2 linked regions of the Rattus norvegicus genome follow. The protein of the gene in region 1 interacts with the protein of each later gene in a pairwise test. Links are inferred from orthologs where the notes say so. Each region holds a gene or a part of one and is shown in the gene's direction. Other genes may lie near its edges.

Region 1 (4,148 bases):
TTGCCCTTGTCTTCTCCAGACACTTTAAATGTGATCCTTCTGCTGGCCACTAATCACTCATTAGCAAAACTGTAATCATGGAACATGGGGCCATCTGGGAAATACATCAAGGGAGCTAACAGAGACATACTGAGACAGCGACTTCATGTTCCTTTAAATATGCGGATCCTAGCATGTAGTGGTCATATGTTAGTGTGTATATAAGCTTTGAACTACAAAGGAAGGGTCACCAGAAGGGAAAAATGAGAGTCATGGACATGGTGCCAGGACATGGGAGGCTATGGGGGTGGGGGTGGGCAGTTACAAGATGGGGGTATTAGGGGGCTGGGGATTTAGCTCAGTGGTAGAGCGCTTACCTAGGAAGCGCAAGGCCCTGGGTTCGGTCCCCAGCTCCGAAAAAAAAAAGAACCAAAAAAAAAAAAGATGGGGGTATTAGGGTTACTGGAGAAGGATGAGAAGAATTAACACAGACCAATAACATTTCACAATTCCATAGTGAAACTTAATATTATGTATGTATATATTATAGCTATATATAAAAACAGATGTTTATATACACAAACATACACACATGTGCACATACATATGCCAGTGCACATACACACAACATATGCACACACACACACATGCCTGCTGCTGTGTGTGCTAGGATTAAAGGCATGTGCCACAATCCTCAGCTTAATATATATTTTTGAAAGGCATAATCATAAAGTAATTTTTCCCCCTTTGGAGCTGAGGACCAAGTGTTCTATCACTGGGCTAAATCTCCAATTCCAGAAAGTAATTTTAAATGTTAGCAGTAGCCAGGTGGTGGTGGCAGCAGCACGCACCTTTAACCTGGGCACTCAGGAGGCAGAAGCATGATGATATCTGTGAGTTCAAGCCCAGCCTTGTTTACAGAGCCAGTTCCAGGACAGTCAAGACTACACAGAGAAAACTTGTCTCAAAAAAAGCAAAACCAAACAAAATAAAAGTAGTAAAAATAAGAAACTCTTGATGTAGTGGCATTATCACTTTTGTGGCTAGCTATCTAAATGCAATACATTTTAATTGTGTTAATCCTGAAAGAAAGTTACAAATAGAAATGTAGAGGGAGGGGGGAAAAACAGATTAGACTGTCCAGAAACAACAAGACGACATTGGAAGGAAAGCTGAGCTCAAGAGTCAGTTGGCGCCCGCCCTCCTGTAATTCCTCCGGCCGCGGTTTCCGCTCCCTTTCGCGCTCTGCACTCCCAGGCAGCCCGGGCCGTAGCTTAGCTCGGCTCTGATTGGCTCCTTTGAACGTCTACGTGCAATCGGATTGGCGGACCCGGGGAGCTTTACCGCGGTGAGTTTGAAACTGCTGGCACTCGGCCTCTAAGCTCCCGGAGTCGCTGCGTCCGCGCAGTCCGGAACTGCGGTGTGGCCACCGCGGGAACAGAGAGGTATGGCGTGAGTCCGGCAGGGTGCCGGCAGGGCCTGCGGGGGCTCCACGGGAGCCGGGGTGTCCCCCCGGGGGGGGACAGGCAGGACATCCTGTGAGTCCGGGGGACCCCCTTGTGGACGGGTAGAGCCTCCACGTGAGATCATGGTCTCCTGTGGACGGGTAGGGCCTCACCTGAGTCCAGGGTCCCCTATGGACCGTCATGGCCTCCCTGAGCCTGGGGTCCCCTATGGAGGTGCAGGACTCAGCTGAGCCTGGGATCGATCTCCTATGGATGAGCATGGTCTACCTTAGCCCGGGGTCCCCTATGGAGTTGTAGGGCTCACCTGAGCCTGGGGTCCCCTATGGATGGGCATGACCTCACCTAAGTCCGGGGTCCCCTTTGGAGGAGCATGGTTCCTCTGAGCCCCAGGTCCCCTATGGAGGGGCAGGGATCACCCGGGGCTGGGATCCTCTATGGAGGAACAGGACTCACCCAAGCCCGGGGTCCTGCAGACGAGCAGGCCTCGCTGGAGCCCCGGGTGTGGGCGGGGTGCCAAGTTGGGTCCCAGGCCCTGCTGGCTGCCTGTGCGGAGCTGGGCTGCACCAGACCAGCTGCTTTCGGAGGCCTTCAAGTCGGTACTGCCGGAGAAACAGACCCGTGGTCGTTCAAAAAGCAATCCCACCAAGGTGCAGAGCCAAGAGAGTGTAGGATCGTTTATTTTTAGTTGCGGGTGCTTATAGACGGCCACAGACGCTACCCAGGCTAAGAAACAGAGAGAGGGAGAACCGCGGATACCATCGCATCCTTCATCGTCTTAAAACATAAGTAATGATGAAGGTCTTGGTGCGTGGACCACCATACCCCTATCCCAACCCCCCAAACTTGGATACCCTGGGCAGCTTTTAACACCAGCCCCAGGAGGCTGGAAAAGGTTGGAAGGGATGAGCCCAGTTTTGAAGACACTTTAACTCTTTGCTGTCTGTGCAGAGGTGGCGGCACAGTTTAATGTACTATAGTTCTGTTACGTCTCTGTGTTGAAGAAAGGGGATTTGGGGGGGGGGGAGTAATTTCTTAAACATATACATAGTTGAGAGTCAAACTTAGGCGTATGAGAATCCCCAGGGTCTAGTGGGATGCCTGGCAAGGCTCTTGGACAGGTTTACATTTTCTTTTTGATTTTTTTTTTTTTAATTTGTTGAGCCCCTGTCTCCTTGTGCAGTCTCAAGAGCTGGGATTCCAGGCTGTGCCACCACACCCCACAGAGCTGATTTTACAGTGCAAAGGGATCTGTAAGGACCAGCTCACAAAAGGTCAGCTATTCCTTGATGTTCATTGGTAAGGATCTGCCCAGGGCTTTCAAGGAAAAGGCGCTTAGTTTTTTCTTTTCTTTTTTTTTTCTTTCTGCCATTCTTTGTGAGCCAAGGTTTTTTTTTTTCCTTCCTTGCTCATGATATTTTTGCCGGTGTGATTAGGGTTTTGTTCAAACTGTCTTAGTCAGGGTTATTATTGTTATGGTGAAAAGCCATGCCCAAAGCAAAGCAACTTGGGAAGGAAAGGGTTTAGTTGTCTTGTACTTCCTCGTCACAATTCCATAACAGAGGAAGTCTGAACGGGACCCTGGAGGCAGGAGCAGATGCAGAGGCAATGGAGGGGTGTTGCTTCCTGGCTTCCTTGACATTGCTTGCACAGCCTGCTTTCTTCTAGAAGGAAGGCCCCTCTGCCCAGGGATGGCCCCTCCCACAATGGGCTGAGCCCTCTCCCATCATCACTAATTAAGAGAATACCCTAAGGGCTTGCCTACAGCCCTATCAGAAGCATTTTCTTAACTGAGGTTCCCTCTCTGGTGACTTCAGCTTGTGACAATGTGACCTAAACTGGCCAGCTCCTCACCTCACATACTTCCTTCTAAGGGGCTTATTGGCATTCCCTCCAAGTCTTGAGTCTTGAGTGGGATTGTCTGTGGCTGGTTTCCGAAAAGATTTACTTCACTTGTGCAGCTAGGAGTTCATGCTGTTTCAAGTGAATTGAATGCTTTTAAGGTAAACAGAAGCTTTTATTAAAAAATGACTGTCCTTCCTTTCTAGGGGTTGGACTTTACAGTTGTACTTTGTTTCCTTCTCAGACAGGGCTGCAGCAAACTAGGCCACAGGTTGGCCTCGAACTTGCTCTTCCTTACGGTAGGATTACATCATGCACAGCTTCCTTCTCACAGATTCTCATTGTTTTAAAGGAAAAAAAAATAAAGCAATTTTAGTACAGTAGCAACGTGTTGAAATACTGGCATTAAAATCATTATACTTCCGTTTTGAAACTTTAAGTCCCGAGGGTCAGGGACTACTGCTTATTTCTTTTGAGACATAGTATCACTAAGTCGTTTAGCTGGCTGTGTGACAGTCTCCTTAGTAGCTGGGTCGACAGGCCTGCTTGGTTTGTGAATGTGAAGGGGCCATGTACAACACTGTATAGAATATACAAAGGCAGTGTCTGAGAAGGCTCGGAACGCTTCACTGCAGGAGCAGGTAAAGCCCAACAATACTGCCTGAAGGAATGGCGGATAGTGGCAGGCTATGCTGGAGGTGATGGAAAGCACTCCTCCGGGACGTCTGTCTTCCGGATACTTCCGACTGTTTGAATTATGACCACATGACCACAGCCATGTTTCTCGTCCTTTTAGGGTCCGTTGTAACCTGTTGAGTAACTATGGAGGACTATATCAAAATAGAGAAAATCGGAGAAGGTGAG
Region 2 (16,909 bases), on another chromosome or scaffold:
CACTATTTTTCTGGCCTCTGTTCTAGAAATAGGAAAACGCCGTGTAAGGTCTCAGCAGTAACATGAAACAAGGAATGGAACTGGGTGGCAGCTTCCACAGGAGTCAGCACAGCAAACATAGTGGCTCTAGTAGCCAAATCGGCCAGGTTATTCCCATGAGACATTGGGCCAGGCAACCCTGAATGAGCCCTTATATGGGTGATGAAAAAAGGGGAATGCTGAGATAGTAACTCCTGCTGGATCTCCAGAAACATAGAAGCCACCGTACTAGTGGTTCTAATCATTCCCGCAACTTCTAAAGATTTAACTGAATTAACCACGTAGGAGGAATCTGAAACAATATTTAATGGACTAGGGAACACTCGGAGCACTTCCAATACAATCTGACACTCAACTAATTGAGGGGAATTAGGGGTAAATTGCTTAGTTACCACTTTACCGTCATGCACATAAGTACCCAAACCAGTTTTCGAACCATCCGTATAAACAATATCCCCTGCCTGAAGGGGTTCCATGCTGGTAACCCAGGGAAACACAAGGGGATGACATTTTGCAAAGGTCAAAATGGGGTGCCTGGGGTAGTGATTATCAAACACCCCTGAAAAGATGCACACAAGTATTGCCCAGTCATCATTTGTAGCGGCCAGCACTTGGAGCTGTTCTGCAGTATAGGGGATAACAATTTTTATTGGATGTTTACCAAAATGAGTTACAGCTACTTTTAGTCCTCTCGTAGCCAATCTTGCCACCGCTGAGGGGTACCACTCTATGGTTTTAGCCAGAGAGGCTTGTGGGTGAATCCAAAGTAAGGGGCCATTCTGCCATAACACCGCAGTGGATAATTTAGCAGTTTGCAAAACACATAGCTCAAAAGGTTTATCAGGTTGTATCCTTACTAATTGAGCCTCAGAAAGAGTCTTCTCCACCTTTCGGAGGGCCTCTACAGCTTCCATAGACAGGGATTGCGGGGATGTTAATTGCGGATCCCCTTCCAATATATCAAACAAAGGTTTTAACTCAGCAGTAGATATTTTCAGGAATGGCTGTAGCCATTAATTAATATCTCCCAAAAGTTTTTGAAAATCATTTAAGGTTTGTAGGTGATCTCGCCTGATTTCAATTTTTTGTGGAGTAATAACTTCTGGATGTACAACGGCTCCTAAAAACTTGCCCATCAGCGATCTCTGAACCTTTTCAGTAGCTATAGTTAGCCCGAACTGTTGCAAATGCTTAATTAAGTCAGCATATGCTATCTCAAGCTCTTGAGGTTTGGATCCACAGAGGAGTATATCATCCATGTAATGAAGAATCGTTAGTGATGGATATCGCCCTCTGACAGGAGTCAGGGCCTGTTGTACATATAACTGACACATAGTGGGGCTGTTTGCCATCCCCTGAGGCAAGACTTTCCATTGATAGCACTCATCAGGCTCCACATGATTTATTGCAGGTAGAGTAAAGGCAAACCTCTCTTTATCCTTAGGATGTAAAGGAATAGAGAAAAAGCAATCCTTAATATCTATTATAATAACCTCCCATTGCTTTGGCAAAGCAGAAAGAAGCGGGAGACCACGTTGGACTGATCCATACAATTTCATTTGTGTATTAATTGCTCTAAGATCATGCAATAGTCTCCATTTTCCTGACTTCTTTTTTATAACAAATATTGGAGTATTCCAGGGTGAGCTTGAAGGTTCCAAATGTCCTAATTGCAACTGTTCCTTTACTAATTGGTGAGCGGCCTCTAGCTTTTCAGAGGAGAGAGGCCATTGAGGAACCCATACAGCCTCATCTGTTATCCACGGTATGGGCATAGCCCCCTCAATGGCCTCTAAGAAAAACCCAGACCGTGACGATCGAGTTTTGCAGTGGGTTGAATTGGCTCTGTAGTTCCTTGGTGATGCTTACCAATGTCTTTTCCTGGGACATACCCCATGTCCCTCACCATTCTCTGTGCTGGTAGGGAATACTCATTCATAAGTTTAAGCCCTAACTCAGCCAAAATATCTCTTCCCCATAAATTGACAGGTAAAGGAAGAACATATGGGACGAAACTACCCTCCTGTCCTTCTGGGGCTTTCCACTTTAAGGGCCTAGAGCTAACAGTTGGACTAGCTTCATAACCCAAACCTTGTAATGAATGGGAAGATTGAGTAATGGGCCATTTTGTAGGCCACCATTTAGTGGAGATAATGATTTTGTCTGCTCCTGTATCTAGAATTCCGTCAAATGTCTTTCCTTCAATGGTTAGGATCAGAGTAGGTCGAGCGTGTAAATTGACCATAAGATATGCTGAATCAGTGCCCGTAGAGCCAAAACCCTTCTTTCCTCTTTTTGTACTTCCTGATTTAAACTGGGCGTGACAACTGGGTAAAACAAGCAATTGTGCAATCCGGTCACCTGGGGAAATGGAGAAGAGACCTCGTGGGGAGGAGCACATGATCTTCAACTGGCCCTCGTAATCTTGATCAATAACCCCAGGATGTACCACCAATCCCTTAAGAGTAGTAGAGGAGCGTCCTAAAAGCAGCCCAACTGTATTGGGTGGTAAAGGGCCATGAAAGTCAGAGGGGATAGGCTGCACCCCCATTGGAGGGGTTAGGACGATTCTGGAGGTGGCACGGAGGTCCAATCCTGTGGAACCCAGAGTGGCTCTCCTGGGGAAGTTTGACGAGCCCAGGTTACTGGGGAGCTGGTTGCCCCATATATTTGAGGGCCCTGAGGACGGGGGCCCTGTTGGACATTTTTTGACACATCCAAGGGTTTCCCCATTATGTCCTTTACTGACCTGCACTCACTGGCCCAATGCTTCCCTTTCTTACACTTTGGACACAGTCCTGGGACTTTCTTTGGATTAAAGCCAGGATTCTGATTCCTGCACTCCCTTTTCATATGACCAGGCTTTCCACATTGGAAACACGTGATGCCTCTACTAGAGAGGCCAGGCCGCCTTTGTCCTTGTAATATAGCCGTGGCTAGACCGGTATTGGTAAGTGGTCCTTCTATTTTCCTACAGGCTTTCAGCCAAGCCTGCAGCCCCTTAGATTTCCAGGGGAGGATTGCATTGCGGCATTCTTTGGTACATTGTTCAAAAACTAACTGTTCTATTAAGGGCATGGCCTGGTCTTGGTCTCCAAAAATCCTACCAGCAGCCTCCATCATGCAGGCCACAAAATCTGAGAAAGGCTCACTTGGTCCTTGGATGACCTTGGTCGGGTTCCCAGACACCTCTCCTCTGTTAGTTAGAGCTTTCCATGCCTTGACAGCACTAATAGCAATCTGACCATATACCTCCAAGGGGAAGGCAGTTTGATTATTGGCCCATTGCCCTTGTCCAGTTAACATATCAAATGTCCAGGCAGGTTGTCCTGCTGCTGCATTTGCGCGTGCTTGTGCTTGGCAAGCATCGTGCCACAGTGCTTTCCACTCAATATACTGTCCCATGCTAAGGAGACAGGCCTTTGTCACAGATTGCCAGTCTGCTGGAGTCATGGCAATGCTTGCTAGTCTTTCTACCTGTGACATGGTAAAATTAGCAGTAACCCCATAGGCACGAACAGACTCTGCCAGTTCCTTAATTTGCTTGTGTTCTAGGGGCTGATGAGAACGAACACCATCGTCCTCAAACACAAGAAACATTTGCCCGAGTGCTCGCTGTGTTTCAGGCGGACAGAAAGAGTACTCACACTTCCCCTCTATATAAGGCGGGGGAACAGAGGCCACCGAGGCATTAATAACTTTCGGTTTCTTCACAGTGGCTCTCCACCTAGGCCCATATCTTTCTTCCTCATATCTGGCTGCCTCTTCCTCTAATTCCTCCTCCTCCGACTCTGACAACTCTTGCTCAGAGTCACTACCAGTCAGTTCTAAGGCTTCTAATTCTTTTAATGGATACAAAGTATCCTCTCCGGATGACTTGTACTTCGTCCTCCGGGGCATACCTATTTTTTCCTCCGGCGGCATTTCTTCCGCCTTTTGTATCTCTTTCACTTTTGTTTTAGTAACCTTTTTCTTTTTGCGCGCTCCTAATTTCTCACTCCGCTCCGTTTCTGACATGCTCTCTTGAATGTTCTGTCCTGCCTTGACTATGTCCTCACATTTTAACACAACTAGTAAGAAGACAACAGTCACTATAAAAACGAGCAACAATCCCTCCACGGCAAGACTAAATCCAAAAAGGGGCATGCCTCTCAGAGCTTACCTTTTAATTTACCTTCTCGCAGTTCTGAATCCTCTTCAGCACACTGAAGGGTCCCCTCGGCACCGGCGATGTTGGTTCTCGGGTTTCGGCACCACTTGTCGGGCGCCCAACGTCCCGCCAGCAAGAACGACGCACAGCAACAGGATTCTTCTGTGAACAAACCTTTACTGTGGTACAGCTCTCTTGAACAGGGACCCCGAGTGGCAAAGTCGCTTGCCTTATATACACAACAGTATGCTAATAAACTCTCAGGGATTGGTGGGGCACGGATCACCCCACTATCACCCCACTACTTGTCCTCCAGGGATTGGCGGAGAATGAATCACCCCACTAGCATGGTACCGCCCCTCATTAGCATATTAACGGCCAACTGACACCTGGTGCAAAAACCGCACATGTGCAGTACCGTTGTTCACCACTGGGGGGCGCCCTACATCACATTATTGTATGGCCGCCCTAGCAAGGGGACAAGCCTGCACATGCGTGGTAAGTTGTCGACATCCAGACGAGGCTGGATGTCGGCGCCATCTTTGTTTTGCCGCGCTGCTCTCTACATTATGTAATGTTAATATTTGATATGCACCTTAATTTTGCTACTGTTAGGTAATGTTAATGTTTGATATGCACCGGATCTGATATTCAACCCCCATGGGGTCGCGACCCACAGGTTGAGAAGCACTGCTCTAGAGTAAGCAAGCTTAGGTCCAATGAATAAGATACTAATTTGGGAGCCAGTTCAGATGGGGACAGCCCTCTGGAGAGACATAAGCTATGAAATAATTGTGGATACTGACTAGGTAATATGATCACAGAAGAGGCTTTACTATCTGATAGAACCATCTGAAATTGAGCCACTGTCTACACCTATACTTCCGACATAGAAACCAGTTACCGCCAAGCAAGTGACATCCACAAGATGCTACACCTAAGTTGCTCTTGCTCTGATAAACCTGGTCATGTGGTTCCTGTGTGCAGTGGTTTGAAAATTCTATTAGGAGGTGTGGCCTTTCTGGAATAGCTGCGGCCTTGTTGGATGAAGTGTGTTCATCCTTGTCGGATGAAGGTTTTCAGGGCTCCTCATGTTCAAGCTCTGCCCAATGCTGAAGAGACCCCCATCCAGGCTGCCGTGGAAGACAGTCTTTCCTGGTTGCCTTCAGATAAAGATATAGAACTCTTGGTTCATCCAGCACCATGACTGTCTGGATGCTGCCATGCTTCCTGCCATGATGATAATAAATTGAACCTCTGAAACTGTAAGCCAGCCCTGTAAGGCTCCAAGTGAGTCTTAACTACCGGGAGACCCTCCCAAGTGAGACACAAGAATGGAGTTCAATGCAAACACAAGAGGTTTATTTGTTGGGGTCGACCCTCAATCAGCCCTTCATGGCGAGTGACTAGAAGGTGACCCCAAATGGCTATAACAATCAGTTTTTATACCTTTTAGGGGTACAGGTTGCATCGGCAAGGTTACAGTTTAAACTTATTGGCTAAGTATATCGATCTTTGAATCTACTGGCTAGCAAGCATATGACATGCATTCGAACTCTATCTGGGACCAGAGGGTCAGATGACTCTCAGTCAGTACATTCTGCAGTTTCTCAAGAATGTCCCTGCTCCTCCCGAGAACTGTGGGTGAAGAATGGAACTTGGCCTAGCCTTGACCCAAGGCAGGAAGCTGGTACTTGGCCTAATTTTGACCTGAGGTGGTAGATGTAAGGCTGGTGAAAGCCCCTAGGGTCCTTCAGTCCCAATTAAATGGTGTCCTTTACATGAGTTGCCTTGTTCACAGCAATGGAACCCTAACTAAGACAATGTGAAAAAGTTTGCAGCTTTGTGGTAGAAAATCCCTTGAGTGCTGTAACTAGAGCTTACAGAGAGTCATTCTGGCAGAAGTGTAGTAGGTTGCAATCCCAAGGAAAATGCAGAAGTGGTAAGCCAGGCTTATGAGGCTTCAAGGAATGAGTCCTATCAGAAACTAGGCTGACGAGCATTTTTTTTTCCTAGTTCCTTTTCCTCCTGCTATGATGGAATGTCCTGACCAGAACCACTTAAAGGAGAAAGGTTCACAATTAAAGGCCACAGTCTGTGTCACAGGAAGTCCTAATGGTAAAAATCTTAAGGAGACGGGTCTTGATTTATCCGGACAGGAAACGGAGAAGCAGGAGAGAATTCTCTCAGCCGGCTTGTGCCCTCTAGCAGATCTGTAACTAATACCTAGCGCCTGACCTTTGCCAAAGAAGATCAGGTGATTCGAAAGCTTCAGTTCAGGATGTGGCCGGCATAGAAACGAGCGAGCATATGGCTTTGGAGAGGTGGCTCAGACCTGTGTTCCTGCTGCCCTTACAGACCTGTGTTCAGTTCCCAGCACCCAACGGGGACAACTCACAATTGCCTGTGGGTCCAGTGAGTTCAAAGCCCACTTCTGGCCTTCACGGGCACAAGGCATGTACACAGTGCACATTCACGCATGCGCACACTCATACATACATACATGAATTAGGAAGAAATAAATCTTCAAAAGGGAAAGAAACTCGGGAGGACTCATTTCCTAAAGCCTATACAGACGTGTTGCATGAGCCACTTTTGTGTTCACAGTGAGCAAAAAAAACCTGGACTAGGCAACTCAAGGGAGGCTTTCTTCTGGCCCACTGTTTCAGACATGTCGTTGTGTCACACGAGTGGGTGTAGAGAAGCAGAATAACGCACTCAGTGGTGGAGAGGATGCTGGGGGGCGGGGGCACTGGTAGTAGAAAGGCGTCATATATCCCCAATGCCTGCCCTTAGAGGCCTACTCTCTCAAATGAGGATTCCAGAGTCAAAGGAGACAGTTCCAGACACGCCCTCCTCAGAATTACTAGAACTTCCCAAAATAGTGCCCTCAGCTGGGCTGACATCCAGGACATGACCCTGTGAGGGATATTTCAGTAGCAAATGCTTATGGGTAAGCAAGTGAGGCCGGATGCAGGGTGTGGTTTTGTGGGGTTTGCTGTGGTACCGGCTTCCCTAGGTCAGCTCCTCAGCCCACATTCCCAGTGCTCCCACCCCTGAGCCTCTTGCCCACCTTACTCCACACACAGGGCACTGCTTCTCATCACACCTCGTGTGTATCTTGATCGAGGCTCCTCTTATGCATTGTTCTATGTCCCATTGTGAATTTGTAGTGGGTGGTAACTAGTTCCCTATGTCGACTGCAACATCATCTAAGGAAGCAGACTTACATTAAAAGAGAATATCTGTAAAGTAGCATTTCTTGCTTTGTTGTTCTAGCTTAATCTTTGAACTTTGGATATGAGCATTCAATATGGACAGCATGAATCTAAAAGTGTTCACTGACTACAGAAAATCCCAGTGGGACTCCGTGTTCATTTTGTCCACGGCACTAGCATGTTTTATGTGTCAGGTTGAGGAAGGAGCCTCGGTTGAAGAAATGTCTCCAGGAGATCTGGCTATAAGACATCAATTAGTGATCAGTGGAGGAGGGTCCAGTCCACAGTGGGCAGTGCCATCCCTGGGCGGTGGTCCTGCCTTCTATAAGAAAGCAGGCTAGCAAGCCAGGGGAAGAAAGCCAGTAAGCAGCATCCCTCCATGACTGCTGCATCAGCTCCTGCTTCCAGCTTCCTCCCTTGTGTGAGTTCCAGCCCTGACTTCCTTTGGTGATGAACAGCAACATGTAACTGTAAGCTGAGTTCCTCCCCAACTTGTTTCTTGGCCATGGCATTTCCTAACAGTAAGGGAAGTCCTAACTACGGCATGTCCTGACCTGGCTAACGAAGCCAGGTGCTCAGATATTTGGGAAAGCACTATTATGAGTATTAGGGGGTGTAATTTACGTTTAAGTTGGTAGACTTTGGGCGAAGCAGGTGCCCAAAGTACTTCCATAGTACTCAGCTGGAAGCCTGGGGACCACAACGGATAAGATTTTCCTTGCACAAGGAGGATTCTTTGACTTACGGTTTTCACCGTTCATTTACAACACAGACTCTTTCTAGTCCCACAACAATCTGCCTTTGAACTTGAACCATAATCTTCTGGGTCAACAATCACTAACTTCTTACTGGATTTTGAACTCATCAGCATCCCCAAGCCAAAGGAGACCATTTTACACACACACACACACACACACACACACACTTCTATTTCTCTGGAGGACCATGACTAATTCAATTTCTAGGTCAAATCGTGCTGTCTTCTTTACCTACCTACTAGCCCTGTGCCCACTGCCTTTGACATAAGGGTAACAGAGGAACTTCTGCTTTCCTCAAATTTCAGGGGAGTGGGGGGTTGGGGGTGGGGGGTACACCTAGAGAGAAGATTCAGCAGTAAAGAGCATATACTGCTCTCAGATTTCAGTTCCTAGCCCCCAAATAGCAGGCTCAGAGCACAATTTTATTATTGGTACTGACTGTGTAGAAGCCTGCCAAGGGAGACCCCACACACATGCACACCATATTTTATCTCCTTCTCATACAGTATTAGCACATTTCTACCTCGTGAACAGGAAGGCTGATCTACACATTAACTTTTGTACATCCTGGAACAGTAAAGAACATTCAGCATCGAGTATGCCTATGTTCTTTCTTTAGTATTCTCCATAGTAGAAGTCATAACTAGATATGACTTCAGTGACAGTTTTCACATGCACGCCTCCGATGCAGGGCTCTCCGCCACCAATCACCACGCCCTTAAAGTTAAAATAATTTAAAAGAAAAACCTTAAGAAAGCCGACAAATCTCCCTACCCTGCTATCATTCAGAAAATACCATCAACTGTCTCCAAAGCGCTGGGCTTGTGGGGAACCCCTTCGCCCCGCCCCTTGTCACGTCCACGCCCCCAACTGGCGGAGGGGCGGAGCCCTCCAGTCAATCCATTTTCTTCCGGGCCCGCCTTCCGCGCGTCTTTCAAAGACTTCCTCCGAACCAATGAGCAGTCAAAGGCTGAGCCAGGCCACGGACTAAGAAACAGAGCGAGGATATGATTGGTTGCTAGAACGCCCCGCGCCACCTCCCACGCGAGCGGACCAATGAGCTGACGGTGGCGGGCTCGGCGCGGGCCGCGTCGTGGATGCTGTGAGGGCGGCGGCACTGGTTACTGCGTGTGGCGGCCCGCGATGAAGCCGGTGAGTGGGGCCGGCGGGACCCGAAGGATTCTCGCCGCTGGGGCAGACGCTGGCCGGCCTCCGCTGCGTTGCTGGACGGCCAGCGGTTTGACTCGCCTAGTAACCTCCCTGCGCGTCGGGGAGGCGGAGCGGAGGCACCGCGGTTCCCTGACCGCCTGTGGGGGCTCATGACGGCCCTGCCAGAGAGGGCCAAACCATTCAGCTTGACACCTCGGATGCAAAGTCTGTCACGACCTGGTTTGTGGGTGGCTTGATACCTCAGATGCAGAGGCTGTCACGGTCGGGTTCGTGGGTGGTTTGGTGCCTCAGATGCAAAGGCTGTCAGGACCCTGTTTGTAGGTGCGGTCACGATAGCTACCCTCCCTCAGTGACCTCTTGGCACCGCATCCTGTTCCCCTCAGATTATCTGGGCCTTGGGAAAGCAGGGACGTCTAGCCTGTTAGGATTTATCCACACCTAGCTGGGAGGGGTGGAGTGAATGGGTCACTCAAGCGTAAACTCTTGTTTATAGGAGAAAAGAAAAAGGGTCTTAGCCACGAGTTGGAAGCCCCTCCTGACCTATAGTTTCTACCTCACAGCTGGTACCCTACTTAAAGGCTTCATTTGGGTTCCGTTGCGTTTTATACCAAAGAGCAATCCAAAGAAATCGCAATCTATAGCTTGTCAGTTATCATCTGTCCCTCCAGCAAGACTGAAGCCAAGCAGTCAGGTGGCTACTCTTGCAAGCCCTGTGTCCACTGTGTCAGCTGTCCAGAAGAGGAAGATATCCGACCTCTGGTATAGAGGGATTGAACAAAGTAGAACCCACCATTTCCTCCTCCCGAGGTCTGCCTGCTTTCTGGTCTCCACCTTAGCACACAGGAGTGAATCCTCAGTACATCGCTGCCTGGGAAGGGGTAGATCTGTCCCATTCTGGATTGACGTGGGAATCACTCGGCCACAGCATACTTTCTGACATTCATTAAAAATGATGTTTCGTTTTTTTTGTTTTTTCACACTTACTGTTAAAATGTCTGATCTCAGATGATTCCAACTAGGGAGTGGGGAAGAATATTTTTTTTCCTTCCATATAGAAATGCATCCAGAACTGAGTTACACCCGCTTAGATCAGCATATAAGGTCCATCAGAATTCCTGTAATCCAGTAATTCATAAAGATAAGGGGAGACTGGTTGTCTCTATGTCTACTCACTTGCTAGGCTGTATGGGGTTATTTTTCTTAGAAACGGGGTGAGCAGTGCTCACTGACTCTCTTGTCATCTCTACTAGAATGAATACAGAGTCCTCCACCCCTCCACCCATATGCTCTCTTGTGTTTTCTGTAGAGCCAACCTGGCCATGTATACGATTGCTCTGGAACTTGAACCTTCGTCTCCCCACTGCTGAATCAAAACTTTGCACCATCGTACCTGGCTCAGCTCTTGAATTTTCACACTGACTGCTTTAACTTCCCAGTCTACCTAGAAACCTGCACTTTCTTCAAAGCTTAGCTCAATGGTCTCTGTCAAACCCTTCAGTGCTCCCTAAATGATCAGTCAGTCATCCCTTCTGCTCTGCAGCACATGGTTTCTGCTAGTTTAACACGATTGCCATTCTGTAATCTTGCACACACCGCTGTCTCTCTAGCTATGCTGAAGGTAGACAATGTACCACAGGGTCTTCAGGTCTTTGGAGCACACAAATAGAAGGTCTAAGACATGTTTGAGGTGGAATGGGCAAATCATACTTCAGAATTGAGGAAAACCGATCCAGGATAAACTCAGGTGCCTTGTCTGATATTATCCAAGGACCTCCAATTCTACCCAATATACCAGTGCTGTGATTAATCAGAGAGTCAACAGTAATAATCTATTTTTGGTATTGCTGATCTCTCTGATAGCCCAGATCAATGACTAAAAAAATTGCAAATATTGATTCAAAGGGTGTTTAATCATGGATCAGCTATGTGAAGATTACATGCAAATGTTCCTTTTAGTAATTTAACATAGCATTTCTTTTGAAGCCCATTTCAATACAAGCAAGCGAGTTTGATTCTTCAGACGAAGAGCCTGCTGACGACGAGCAGACTCCAATTCAAATTTCATGGTATGTCAGCACTTCAGTGGTGAGTTACAATATTCATACAATATTCATGGTATGTCAGCACTTCAGTGGTGAGTTACAATATTCATACAATATTCATGGTATGTCAGCACTTCAGTGGTGAGTTACAGTATTCGATGTTACATCATATTTGGGCAAGGTCAGGCTTGTAACTGAAAATACCAAGCATTCTCTGGGCCAGTTATAGAGTTTTAATTTTTAAGTGACTCTCTTACTCCATGATTTGTTTTTATTATCTGATAGCAAATGAAACTACACTCCCCCCCCCCCTTTTAGTCCTTTAGACATGGAGAAAATAAAACTCTTTGTAGCAGCAAGTAAACAAGAGGAAGGTTTTTTTAAAATTATCTCCAACCAAGATTTATGTATTCTTTTAGAGTTAGAGAAACAGTAATGCCATCTGGGTGGCAGTGACACAGCTTTAATCACAGCACTCGAGAGGCAGAGGCAGGCGGAGCTCTGAATTCAAGGCCAGCCTGGTCTACAGAGAGAGTTCCAGGACATCCAGGGCTACACAGAAACCCTATCTCAACAAAAAACAAAACAAAAACAAAAAAAAAATGCATCTGAAACAGTAATGCCCAAGATAGGATATTTAATAATTAATCATTAGGTTAAATCCTATTTAATACACAGAACTATTGGTCATGGTGATGTGTCCGTCAGTAGACCATGTAAAATAAAAGCCATATCATATAACTGTTTCTGCCCAACATACATGTCTTAAGGGAGGGAAGGTTCCTTTTTGAGATTTCCGTGCATTGTAGCAGGGGACAGGTGCATGTCAGGACACAGGAACTCAGACCATGACTGTCAGGAAGAAGCAGAGTAGGATGGTAACATGAAGTAGCCAGGGAGGGACATGCCCCAACATGTTTTCCAGTCAGCCAAGCGCTCTTCCCCACTCTCCTGCAGTCCATTCTTTAGGTTCAGTACCTGCGCCTTACCAATCCCTTAGGTGGTTCTTAGTCCAGTCAGGTGGACCAACATCAGTCGTTAAAAAGTTTCTCATCAATTAATTCCCAAGTCTTCTCTGCAGCCAGCAACTGAATCCCCATAAAGCCGCTCATCCCCACAAAGCCAGCAGTCTTACCCGGTAATAGCTTACCTGTCTACTCATGCCCCAGCACAGAAAATACAAGTTCTGATCTCTCGAGGAAACACCCTTCCCCTCCACAGGAAGAGTGAGGACTGAGGATTGTCTTTTATTCTGTCATCAAATAAGCTCTCAGCTCTGTTCTAAACTCAAAACTAAATCTAGTTCTTCACCCCAGCTCTTTTCCCATGATGGCTTTTCTCAGCTCATCTCCTGACACTCAGATGGGGAGCCTCTGTCCCTGGGTATTGCAAACAAGACTGAGTTCTAGAAGCCTGTTCCATTTTAATCAAAAGTATTGACAATAAAGGATGGTAGCCTGTTCTCTTCATATGAAATTATATCTATGAGGCAGTTTTACCAAAAGTCTATGCAATCCTTCCAGCATCTCGAAACTGAGTAACACTGGTCCTAAGCTTTTGGGGTCACACCACAGGGTCACTGGGTCTTCCTGTAGAGTATCCAGGAACCATTACCTTCATGGTAAAGGCTTAACTCACTCATTTAAGATTTAATTGGCATTAAAGTAAGGACGGCCCCGTTTCTGTACTTTTACTCGTTCTAGGCCTTTCCTGTTCCCCACGTTTAACTATGGACTGGTGTTTTGTGACTGCTGTAAAATGCTAAAGCACCCTTCCTTACTCGGTGGCAGGCACTCTTGTTAGGTAGGCGTAATTTCCATTTGTGCAGTTTTAAAAACTAAACTTTATACATTTTTCTTCATAGGCTACCTCTGTCACGAGTGAATTGTTCTCAGTTTCTCGGTTTATGTGCTCTTCCAGGTAGGTGAGGACACTCCGGTGGCTTCCTATTAATATGAAGGCAGATTCTGGTGAGCTGACAGGTGGCTCGGTGCATACAGACTGGTGACCTTGTCTTAGAGAAGCCTTCAGGAACACCTTCTGCATCCAGGGCTGCACTTTGAACTTACCCAATCCAGTGAGACTTAAAGCCAGGCAGAAATGAGGTTGAGACCATGGCCAGGAGCTCCCGCACCTGGACCCCTTCAGGGAAATTGACCAAAATTAATATGTACATTTAAAATGGAACCGAAACATGAATAGCCATGTGAAATGACTTTCTACAGTAGCTGTGTGTGTGTGTATATGTGTGTGTGTGTGTGTGTGTGTTTAAATACGCTTTCTTACACAACTGCAAACTGATTGTTCTGTTTTGTTTTGTTTTTACTTTCCTTATCTGTAGGTTGTAAATTTAAAGATGTTAGAAGAAACATTCAAAAAGATACAGGTAGGTTCACTCTGATAAAAGCCCACTACTGGTCTTGTTTTAAGCCTGAAACTCTGTTGAACTATATTCTCTTCTCAGTATACAAAATGAAATCTTATGGCATTTCTAACTGTGAACTCTCGAATGTGAAAAGGTATTGGTGATGAGCCCAAGGGCTCATCGTTTATTTATCTGAACACAGCTTTGTTTTCCGTAGTCCTATTTACACATACAAACTTTGATGACAGACTCTGTCTGTTTGAGGGAGAAAAGAGTGCAAGTAAGAAACCTGCACGCTGCAGTGCCCGTGACGTTGAACGCACTGTTCCCTGTGGACATCACTGTGGTAGTTTAAATTAAACCCAAGGGCTGGAGAGATGGCTCAGTGGTTAAGAGCACCGACTGCTCTTCCAGAGGCCCTGAGTTCAATTCCCAGCAACCACATGGTGGCTCACAACCATCTGTAATGGGATCTGATGCCCTCTTCTGGTGTGTCTGAAGACAGCTACAGTGTACTCATATATAATAAATAAATAAATCTTAAAAAAAAAAAAAAAAATTAAACCCAAGCTGGGAGCCTAGGGATCCGCCTTCAATCAGATGTAGAAACCAGCATTTGGGTGGCCAAGGCAGCATGAATCGCTTTCCTTGTTCACAGATGCTGACCAATAGTTTTTAAAGTCATAATACTTTATTCTACTTGTTCTGGAATATCAATTAATATACTTTATTTCTTACCTATCAAAAAAGATGAGAAGAAAGTCAGGCATGGTAGCACACGCCTTTGACCCTAGCAGAGAGGCAGCAGATCTCTGCATTTAAGGCTAATGTGGTCTACACAGCAAGCTCCAGGCTAGCCAGAGCTACGGAATGAGACCCTGTACCAACAAAAAGGACAAAAAAGAGACTCATGCTTGAATTGACCCTTGAGGAATTTCCAAACATGTTCTGCGTTAGGTATCCATACAGCAAGAGGAGATATCTTCCATGTTCCATTTGGAAGACATTAAGCTATAAGCAAATACTATTTAGATCATTGGTTCAAAACTAGTATTACACATTTTGGAATTTCCTGTTTATTTTAGTGGCTTTTATAAAAAGAAGATTCTAGTTTTTTCATTAATGTTTTTTTAAACAATGAAGTCACACATAGAATCCATTACTTAGAACAGATCAAAACACTTGGTGAGGAAGACATAGAATGTCCCTGTGGTGTGTCCTCTGGAAAAGCCTGAAAACCACTGTATTAGAATCTAGCCAATGTGAATGGAGACATTATGACAAATTACTCCCTCTTCTGAAAGCTTCAGTAACCACATGTTCTTTTACAATTGTAAAAATGCACAATGTTTAGGCCACATTCCCCTCCTTTCTGCCTTCCTTCCTTCTCTCTTTAGACCCTTTCCTTCCCCCACATAATCTCAGTTCACTCTATTATATATGTATATATAATATATATTACATGTAATAGGAATATCATATATATGTACATCACACACAGATATTATATTAAGATCATTTTGATCTTTATTTTCTTTGTCTTTGAAACAATGTGTATGCTTTACACTTTAACTGCAAAGGCTCTGTACTTGGGTAGGTGAGTGTCCACAGTTGGGGCTGGGAATTATTTATTTTGAAATAATCATCCAGAATGAACAGTGCCATAAAGAAGGTTCAGAAGCTAAGAGAGGGCTCAGTGGTTAAAAGTGGGTGCTGCTCTTGCAGATGACCAGCATTCAGTTCCCAGAGCCCACATGGGTCAGCTTATACCTGTAACCGCAGATCCTGGAGATCCAAAGCCCTCTTCTGAAGTCCACAGGCACTGCACACACATGCATATACCCCTATCCTGACGTACATTTATATAGTTAAAAAAGAAAATCATCTCTTTTAAGTTCTAGTATAAAATCCTATAGAAATATTTCTTGATTCCCACTGTTAAAATGAAAAGAGCTAAACCATATACAGTTAGTGCAGCTAATGCCTTATTTTCTCAAGACCTGGTCAGTAGAAGTTAACCGAGGTTGGTGTGGTGCAGTGCAGAACAAGGGAAGCATACGGGAGCTACAGCTGGAGACAATTTATGATACTTGCCTGAGTGTGAACATGGCTGATCCGGGGGGTGGGGGTGGGATTAAAAATAGTGCTATCTATTCCTTCTGAGGAGCTTAAATCCTAATTATTAAAGGCAGTATTTATTGCAAGGGAAAAGAACCAAGTTTTAATGCAAGAATATCAATACCGTCAGCCAATCCTGAAATTCATTCAAAAGCATTTTACTCATAAATCAATTTAGTTTAGTTCTAACCAGCTTTTGTTTCAGGTACTTTCATTAGATATTTCACACTGACAAAGTTTCACTGGTTACTAGCTTGGCTGAAGAACGTAACTCCATATTCTCTCTCATGATCATATTTAAACGTGTCCTGTTTTACACATGCATCTGTGTGTGTCTTGGTCTTTTGGCAGAGGAACTAAAGAGCTCTGGGATCCAAGACGTATTTGTTTTCTGCACCAGAGGGGAACTGTCAAAATATAGAGTCCCAAACCTTCTGGACCTCTACCAACAATATGGAATTGTCACCCATCATCATCCGATCCCAGATGGAGGGACTCCCGACATTGGCAGCTGCTGGGAAATCATGGAGGAGCTGGCCACCTGCCTTAAAAACAACCGAAAAACCCTGATACAGTATGTTCTTCCCCGGATACCACACAAGCAACATTCCAATCAAAATGACTCTTGAGCTGCTCAGCCTAACCTCCCCCTCTGCTGTCAGGACAGAGAGCTAACGTACCCACACACTTCCTGTTACCACACCTCAAGGGCATTGGCAACAAGCAGTGTTTAGAGTAGGAGTTCAGGCATTTTCCTTTCCTCTAGTCTCCACCAGTGTGTGGCATTACTCTGGCTCTCATGTCTCCTAACTTGTCATCTCAGCCTGCCAGTTGTTTTCGGTAGCAAAGAAGTCACTTGAACTTTCAAAGTTCACAGAAAAAAAAAAAATCCCTCATCAGTAAGTGGTCTTTTTAAATATGACTTCTACGGACTGAGGAGATAATCAGTTGGCAAAGTACTTGCCACTCAAATGTGAGGGCCTGAGGTTGACCCCCAGCACCCATGAAAGAGCCTGGCATGGTGGAGTCCCATAGAAAACAGCACACCC

The links.
Region 2: the proteins of Cdk1 (region 1) and Cdkn3 interact in a two-hybrid assay, tested with the Homo sapiens proteins (2 studies listed by BioGRID and IntAct). The link is inferred for Rattus norvegicus from reciprocal best matches to the Homo sapiens genes CDK1 and CDKN3.

What each region holds. Positions count from the first base shown.
Region 1 is NC_086038.1:19,263,945-19,268,092, forward strand, and holds the start of Cdk1 (cyclin-dependent kinase 1), read left to right. Parts: upstream 1-1,348; 5' UTR 1,349-1,424; intron 1,425-2,625; exon of another isoform or gene 2,626-2,716; intron 2,717-3,533; exon of another isoform or gene 3,534-3,583; intron 3,584-4,080; 5' UTR 4,081-4,106; coding exon 4,107-4,143; intron 4,144-4,148. UniProt on the Homo sapiens protein: Plays a key role in the control of the eukaryotic cell cycle by modulating the centrosome cycle as well as mitotic onset; promotes G2-M transition via association with multiple interphase cyclins.
Region 2 is NC_086033.1:22,493,139-22,510,047, forward strand, and holds the start of Cdkn3 (cyclin-dependent kinase inhibitor 3), read left to right. Parts: upstream 1-9,259; 5' UTR 9,260-9,308; coding exon 9,309-9,317; intron 9,318-11,304; exon of another isoform or gene 11,305-11,318; coding exon 11,319-11,401; exon of another isoform or gene 11,402-11,403; coding exon of another isoform or gene 11,404-11,420; intron 11,421-13,241; coding exon 13,242-13,297; intron 13,298-13,718; coding exon 13,719-13,763; intron 13,764-16,211; coding exon 16,212-16,434; coding exon of another isoform or gene 16,435-16,489; exon of another isoform or gene 16,490-16,761; intron 16,762-16,909. UniProt on the Homo sapiens protein: May play a role in cell cycle regulation. Dual specificity CC phosphatase active toward substrates containing either phosphotyrosine or phosphoserine residues. Dephosphorylates CDK2 at 'Thr-160' in a cyclin-dependent manner.